Linked DNA regions of Macaca mulatta. The protein of the gene in region 1 interacts with the protein of each later gene in a pairwise test. Links are inferred from orthologs where the notes say so. Each region holds a gene or a part of one and is shown on either strand. Other genes may lie near its edges. The genes, in order: FSD2 and CORO1A.

Evidence for each region.
Region 2: the proteins of FSD2 (region 1) and CORO1A interact in binary tests that used the Homo sapiens proteins (3 or more experiments, as listed by UniProt). The two-hybrid records come from large-scale screens. The link is inferred for Macaca mulatta from reciprocal best matches to the Homo sapiens genes FSD2 and CORO1A.

Annotation. Positions count from the first base shown.
Region 1 is NC_133412.1:73,986,746-73,990,550, forward strand, and holds part of FSD2 (fibronectin type III and SPRY domain-containing protein 2), read left to right. Parts: intron 1-73; coding exon 74-224; intron 225-3,050; coding exon 3,051-3,184; intron 3,185-3,805.
Region 2 is NC_133425.1:28,379,470-28,383,894, reverse strand, and holds the start of CORO1A (coronin-1A), read left to right. Parts: upstream 1-1,514; 5' UTR 1,515-1,772; intron 1,773-2,125; exon of another isoform or gene 2,126-2,509; intron 2,510-2,886; exon of another isoform or gene 2,887-3,881; intron 3,882-3,946; 5' UTR 3,947-3,947; coding exon 3,948-4,145; intron 4,146-4,425. UniProt on the Homo sapiens protein: May be a crucial component of the cytoskeleton of highly motile cells, functioning both in the invagination of large pieces of plasma membrane, as well as in forming protrusions of the plasma membrane involved in cell locomotion.

The DNA.
Region 1 (3,805 bases):
GTCCGTGGCTCTGAACAAAATGACTGGAAATGAACCCAACAGTTGTTCATCTCTCCCTTTCTCCCACATTTAGCGCCTTCTCCCCCCATTATAAAAACAAAAGAGATAAGGAGCTGTGAAGAGGCTGTGCTGATTTGCTGGGAGTCTGGGAACCTGAATCCTGTGGACTCGTACACTGTGGAGCTGACCCAGGCTGAAAGTCCAGAGGCCTCAGGTGTAACTGAGTGAGTCATAAGGGCATTTGCTGGGCACGCGAGCCCTGACACCTGATACAGTGACATGGCTTAGGAAGTATATGGAGTCTGAAGAGAAGGTTGGCATTTTTGATACACAGGAATCTCAATTTTTGGTTGCTTAGTGTTCATGAGAAGTAGCTGGAATGCTATTATTGAAGGTGAATGATGAGTGAATGAATAAGTTGGCTGAACCTCAGGTTTTGTTGTTGTTTTACCTGAAGTAAGGTTTCCCATTCATTCATTCATTCAACAAGCATTGAGTGCCTGGGTGGTGTCAGGTCCTGTGCAAGGCACTGGGAACTAGATGGATAAACTTCCTGCCCTAATGGGGCTGACAGTCTGGTGGGGAAATAGACAAAAGGCAAGAAAACAAACCAATGTGCAAAATATGCAGTGCTAGGAAGGAAAAAGAAATGTAATAAAACAGAGAATGGTGGTGGAGGTGAGGATCCACTTTGGATAAAGAAGATGTTTAAACTGAGACCTGAACAGATGGGAAAGACTGAGCCCCAAGAACAGTGAATGCAGGGGTGCTCCAGTGGGAGGGGGCTGCATGGACACACACCCTGGGGGCAGGAGTAAGCAGCTGGAGGAACTGAAAGACCCACTTAGCTGGAATTCAGAGAGGAGAGGGTGAAACTCATAGGCGAAAACAAAAGAGATCACAGCTCAATGTACAAAGAATGTTTCATCTATCATAGAAGACTGTCTGGAAGCTCATGCTCACCCCTCATTCTCTGAGAGCTGGAGGGGTTCACAAATTGATAAGGGTTGGACTCAGTGACCACAAGGGCTCACAGAACCTGAGTTTACAGCAGCCTATGATGGAGGAAGCATAGGTTTACCTCTGGTTTACAGAAGCTTGTGAAAGGGGATGAACCAGCCAGGCAGGCCAGCACCAGCCACCAGGACCAGGGGCTCCCCTGCTGTGGAGCACAGGGTTGCACCGACCTGGAGCTGGAGAAATGAAGAGGGATTGGTGTCAACTGTTACGGAAGCAGATTCTTCTATGCTAAATGCCAGGTTTGAAACATGGCCATATGCCACCCATCCATCTGTTCCAGGTGGAATCTGCATGTCCATGGCCACATGGAGGCTGACCTTGGTAATCCACTCTGGGGATACTCAGGAGTGGGGCAGGGTGTCCAGTGGTTCTGGCCATCCTAAGGGTTCAGGTTTCCTTTGCAATTTATGCTGATACTTTAGGCGCACTTGACACCTGGGACCAACTCACAATGATGAGGTCACCAGAGGGCTGGTCAGTAACCTGAGAGATGACCTGAGAGCTGTTGCATATTCTTCCAGTACAAATCCAATCATGGCAGCCCATGGCGGAAAAAAGGCAAAACTCGTTCATAGGCTCTGGCCCCTTCCTGCCTCTCCAACTCCTCTCACATCAGCTCCCCTCCCTCTAAAGCTCCCGCCACATTGGTCACGTTTCAGTTCCTCCTACTTTTCACACTCCTTCCTGCCACAGGGCCTTGGCACATGCTTCTCCTGTGAAGGAGACTCCTCTGTCCCTTTTTCATACAGTTACCTCTTCAGCATTCTTCAGAGCTCTGCTCAAAAGCCATCCTCCCCCCACCATTATATGCTATAGCACACTGTCAACTTGTCATGGTTACCATCTTACATTCCTTCCAGTGATTGCTTGAAGAATGCTGCTCTTCCCATCTAGACTGGAAGCTCTATGAGGGCAGGAACTACATTTGGTTTTTCTGAGGGCCTCCCTATACAGTGCCTGGAACCTGAGGAGTTTAGTTAATATTTATTGAATGCATAAAAGTGCCCCTCTGGCCCAGAGCTGCAGCCTGAAGATAACCTAGACAACCTGGCCTCATCTGGGTGAGGATGTTGTATTGGTAAATGGGCCTCATCCTAAAGACTTTTCTTGCCCACTGGACTGACATGGGGTTGGCAACCGCAGCAATATAGGCAGTGGCAATTATGGGCTTATATTTCTGTATAGTACAATTTAAATATCTTGAATTATTTCCAATAGGCAGCTGTTCTCAGTGGGTTAATAGCAGTTAACCCTTTCAGCTCTAGTTAGAAAGTTAGAATTATTTGTTCATAAACATGAATCAAGGACCTTCTTCTTTTTTTTTTTTTTTTGAGACAGAGTCTTACTCTGTCGCCCAGGCTGGAGTGCAGTAGCCTGATGATCTCTGCTCACTGCAACCTCCAACTCCCAGGTTCATGTAATTCTCCTGCCTCAGCCTCCTGAGTAGCTGGGATTACAGGCATCTGCCACCACATTTGGCTACTTTTTGTAGTTTTAGTAGGGACAGGGTTTCACCATGTTGGCCAGGCTGGTCTCGAACTCCTGACCTCAAGTGACCCACCGGCCTCAGCCTCCCAAAGTGCTGGAATTATAGATGTGAGCCATCGCACCTGGCTGAAGTGAGGGCCTTCTATGGGCCCAGCACTGTACTAAGAATAGCGGTACTCAGAGACATTATGATCCTAACAGACAGACAGAGACATACTGGATTCCACTGCATGCACACTCCATGATGCAGTGTTAGCCATATGCCAAGCGCGGTGCTGGGTGCCTGGGAAACCAGAATGAGGGACTTGGAGAGGAGACAGCCACAAACACAAGAAGTAGCAATGAAGTGACAAGAGCAGACCAGAGACTGTGGGAGGGAATGCCAAGGGGCAGCCAGCACTCCTGGCTGTGCTGCTGTAAGTGTGGATCAGAGGACAGGGGCGCAAGAGTGAGTTAAACCTTCCAGCTTTGAAAGGGATGCCTGGTGCTTGGGCCCAGGTGTCCTGGCCCCATTCTGACTGCAGCTCTGCTTCCTTGTACAGGTCTGTTGTAGGCATCCCGACCTGCGAGTCCCTGGTGCAGCTGCAGCCGGGGCGGAACTACATTATCTGTGTGCGAGCCCTCAACATGGGGGGCCCCAGCGTGAGGAGCGAGCCAGCTACAGTCCACACCATAGGTCTGTGCCCCAGCCCACATAGTCTCTGGGACCCAAAGTGGCCACTCTGTGGCAGACCCAGTGATGCTATGACTGCACTGGGAAATTGATGAATATGCACAGATATGGACATGTGGCAAGTCAGCCCAGAAGGAGTTCAGGGGTGTCCCCCACTGCCCTAATTGCAAGTCAAATGGATCATTAAGAAGTCCCTCAGGCCGGGCACGGGGGTTCACGCCTGTAATCCCAGCACTTTGGGAGGCCGAGGCGGGCGGATCACAAGGTCAGGAGATCAAGAGTATCCTGGCTAACATGGTGCAACCCCATCTCCACTAAAACATACAGAAAATTAGCCGGGCGTGGTGGCGGGCGCCTGTCGTCCCAGCTACTTGGGAGGCTGAGGCAGGAGAATGGCGTGAACCCGGGAGGCGGAGCTTGCAGTGAGCCGAGATGGCGCCACTGCACTCCAGCCTGGGTGACAGAGAGAGACTCCGTCTCAAAAAACAAAAAACAAAAAAAGAAGTCCCTCAATTCCTATTTCCCTTGGCAAATAGGTTAGACATTCTTATCCATATATAGGCATTACAGCTAGAGGTGAAGAGCACAGCCTCTGGAATCAGAGGGGATTGGGGTTCAAGTTTA
Region 2 (4,425 bases), on another chromosome or scaffold:
AGTTTCTGCATCTGTAAAATTCAGATAGTATTTGCTACCCAGGGGTGCTATGAGGATTACATGAACATAGTATAGTCTCTAGAACAGTGCACAGCACACAGTAGGCACTCAATAAATGCCAGTTATTATTCCTGTCACTTCTGTTGGAGACTGCACATCAGAGTACCCACCTCACCTTGGTCTAGTCCCATCCAGTTGCAGGCCTTTGAGTACAGTACAACCCTAAGGTTTTTACAATTGCATAATCTATAGAACATTTACAGATTTATTGTCTCGTTTGAGTTTAGTAACTTTTTTGTTGTTGTTGAGATGGAGTCTTACTCTGTTGCCCAGGCTGGAGTGCAGTGGTGCAATCTTAGCTCACTGCAACCTCTGCCTCCTGGGTTAAGGCGATTCTTCTGCTTCAGCCTCCTGAGTAGCTGGAACTACAGGCGCCCACCACCACGCCCAGCTAATTTTTTTTTTTTTTGAAATGGAGTCTCGCTCTGTCGCCCAGGCTGGAGTGCAGTGCTGCGATCTCGGCTCACTGCAAGCTCCGCCTTCCGGGTTCACGCCATTTTCCAGCCTCAGCCTCCAGAGTAGCTGGGGTTACAGGCTCCCGCCACCACACTCAGCTCATTTTTTGTATTTTTAGTAGAGACAGGGTTTCACCATGTTAGCCAGGATGGTCTCGATCTCCTGACCTCGTGATCTGCGCACCTTGGCCTCCCAAAATGCCGGGATTATAGGCGTGAGCCACCGTGCCTGGCCAGAGCCTCATAACTTTGTGAGGTGGGCAGGACAAATCTTATTAATTCCCCATTTACCAATGAGAAAACGAGGTTCAGAGAGATCAGCCCTCTTGCCCAAGATCGCACAGCCAGTCAGTGGCAGAGGTGGGACTTGAACCCGTCCCTTGCTGTTCCTTGAACCTCTCCACATGACAGGGCTGTCCCTCAGCCTACAGGTCACCCCTCTAGCCTTGCCTGTTGGCTCTTCCTCATCCTTTTGGGCCCAGCCCAGATACTTTGTAAACAAGAATGACAAGAGCTAACTTTTTTTTTTTTTTTTTTTTTTTTTTAATGAGACAGAGTCTTGCTCTTTCACCCAGGGAAGACTGGGTGATGCAGTGGCTCAGTCTTGGCTCACTGCAGCCTCTGCCTCCTGGGTTCAAGCTATTCTCATGCCTTAGCTTCCTGAGTAGCTGGGATTACAGGTATGCATCACTACACCACGCTAATTTTTGTATTTTTAGTGGAGATGTGGTTTTACCATGTTGGCCAGGCTGGTCTCAAACTCCTGACCTCAGGTGATCCGCCAGCCTTGGCCTCCCAAAGTGCTAGGATTACAGGCGTGAGTCACCACGCATGGCCGAGAGCTAACGTTTATTAAGCCCTCGCCACTTTCTAGATGAGGTCCTTACTGACTTTCTTGGGTTATTTTAGGTAATCATACCCATACCTCTTACGTGGCAGGTATGACTGTTACAGAGGGAGAAACCGACGCTGAGAAAGGCTAAGTAGCGGCCACATGTCACTCAGCAGGTGACAGGCTGCGGTCGCACTCATGACATAGTCTGACTCTAGAGCAGGCCTTTCCTGCCCGCTGTTGCTGTCTCCAGAAGCCTCTCTGAATCTAAGGGTGGGAACTACTCCTCCTTGCCCTCGAGCCTTCGCCAAAGCCGGGCTTGGAGCGGCCGTGGGCTCCTCCTCCTTCCCCCAGGCTGGGCTCTTCACGGGCGGGAGCCTGCCTGGCTCGCCTGCCTCGCTCGACCCTGTAGCCCCTGGCACGAAGTAGGTGCCCGTGATGCCGAATTATTTCAGCAGGAGGGCAGGGGTGTTCCCGATGAAGACAGGAGACCAGGGAGGAGAAGCGACTCCCGGGGCCACCCATGTGTAGATCTCGGAGCCAAGCAAGAGCCAGGTCCCTTGGGTCCGGGAGCGCTCTGGGCTTCTCCTCGCCCGTGCCCCCCGCGCCCCCCGCGCTCCCCGCGCTCGCGTCTGCGGGGTCGGGAGGAGGGGGCGGCGTCGCCGGGCTGGGGCGGACACCGAGGCCTGGCGGGCGGGCCTGGAGCGCTTTCGTGCCTGCCAGGGAAAGGCTGGAGAGGAGGCTAGGGGCGGACGCAGGGAGAAAAGAAGCAACGGGGTGTTTTTGCCTTTTGACATTTTAAAAAGAAGTGCAGATTCGCTTCCCGGAGCCGGGCTGGCAGCCTGCGCTATGGTTAGGAACCAACGTGGGGCGCGGGCTGGGGCAGGGGAGGGAGGCGGCCGCAGCAGGGGCCCGGGAGCGCAGGGCGGGCCTGGAAGAGCTCCGCCCCAAGGGGCGCGGCCACCCTGGAGGCGGGCACACGGCTGCTTCTCATTCATTGTCTTGACAAGAGCATCCTCAGCGGGCGAGTCCCCGGCTCCTCCAGCTCCTTCCTCCTCTTCCTCCTCCTCCTCCACCTCCGGCTTTTGGGGGGTCACTGTCCTCTCTCTGCAGCAGGTGAGGCTGGGCCCAGGAGGCGCGGGTGGACCGGGGCGAGGGCCACCTGTGGGGCGGCGCGCGTGTGGGAGCCGCGGGTTGCGGGGGCGCGCGGCTGTCACCGCGACCCAGCCAGCGCCGGGGCCAGGGAGCGGGCGCAGCAGCCCGTGGGGGGACGCTGCCTGGAGTGGGGGCCGCCGGGGCCCCAGAGCGCTCTGCGGAGGCGAGGGCGAGGGACCACCGCGGCCAAGATGGAGGTGGGCGGCCGGGGGTTAGCACAGCGTCGAGGGCCCGACTCCCCCCGGAATTAAGTCTCGGGGAGGGTGGGGACGGGGACAGGGTGGGGTGAGTGGGGCAGCTGCCCTGGGCTTGGAGACAGGAAGGGGTTGAGAGCAAAACAAGAAAAGACCAAGTTCCCCTTTCCGTGGTTTCCGGGCCTGGTACCTGCGGCGGGGGAGGAGGCAGGGTGGGGCGATGGCTTCCTGTCCCCCACCTCTGGTCCGGGGCTCCTCTCTCTCCAGACCCTGGCTGCTCCTCAAGACGGGGGCTCTTCACGTACGCTCCTCACCGCTCTTTGGGCAGGCCGACCTAGCAGCCTCTTTGGGAGTCCTGGGGTGGCCAGGGGTGTTGGCGCCCCCAGTGAGTAGGCGAGGCTGAGGCTAGGGGCAGAGGCTCTGGGCACGGTACCCTCTCAGCGGTAGCACAGGCCCCTTCCCTGAGCAGGAGGGTGATGCGGTGGCACAAGGTCGTCCCTGGAGTTCCTTGCTCCCCACCAGACACTGGGGGAAACCATCCTAGCTGGACATCAGAGCAGTTGGAGTGGCTTCTCCCTTCCTGTGTGCAGTTCACATGGGGGTGGAGATGGCTCTTAAGGGCACCTGCTTTTCTGAGCGAAGGCAAGAGGCAGAGGTATGGGGAGGAGAAGATACTGGGACCTGAGCCAGAGACCTGCTGGGGAAGCCATCCTGCCACCTCACTCCCCTCGGGCAGCCCCCACGCCACTTCCTCCTGTGTCCAGCCCCGCACCGGCAGGGGAAGGAGGCCAGCCCCTGTCCCTGCCTTTAGGAAGCGCTGTGTGGGTGTGAGGGAGGTGGGCTCTGGACACTGTAACTAAGAGAGAACCCACCCTCAGAGCCATCTGGGCTGATGACGCCTGAGTCTGAACCATTAGGAAGGACGGGCTCTGTATCCATCAGCCAGTCAGTCAACAAACATGCAGTGGGGGCAACACCACGCCAGGCTCTGTTGCAGAGGCTGAGGGTACAGATTGAGTGTGTGACTCAGAGTGGCCTGGGGCCAGGGAGAAGGGGGCTTGCAGGTTAGATGGAAGGAGAGGCCGGGGAAGGCGAGCGGGCATAAGCCACAGAGGAAAGGATAGGGAGCCCCTGGAGATGATGCTGGGACCTCAAAAGCCAGACTGAGGGGTGTCCTGGGGGAGGTGGGGACCACTGGAAGATCAGAGTTGACCCTAAGGGAGAAATGCTCTTATCCTGTGTGCCCCTAGAATGAGCCGGCAGGTGGTCCGCTCCAGCAAGTTCCGCCACGTGTTTGGACAGCCAGCCAAGGCCGACCAGTGCTATGAAGATGTGCGCGTCTCACAGACCACCTGGGACAGTGGCTTCTGTGCTGTCAACCCTAAGTTTGTGGCCCTGATCTGTGAGGCCAGTGGGGGAGGGGCCTTCCTGGTGCTGCCCCTGGGCAAGGTGAGCCCCTGGGGCCCTGGGGGTAGCAGCTCCTCCACCCGACCCATGGCTCTGTGGAGGTCCTGATTAGGTGACTGTCACCAGGCCTTCCAGGGCCTGTGTTGCCATCTGGAAAACTGAGCTGGGCCCCATGAGCCTTACACTTCCTCTAGCTCCTCTGTGCTGTGGCTGTGTGGAAACTGATGCTCAGAAGGAGCCAACACAAGATGGGTCACACCAGTGACCAGGACTACAGACAGTCCTGCAGGCCCATGACCAGCCCTTCTGAGCCTCAGCCTGG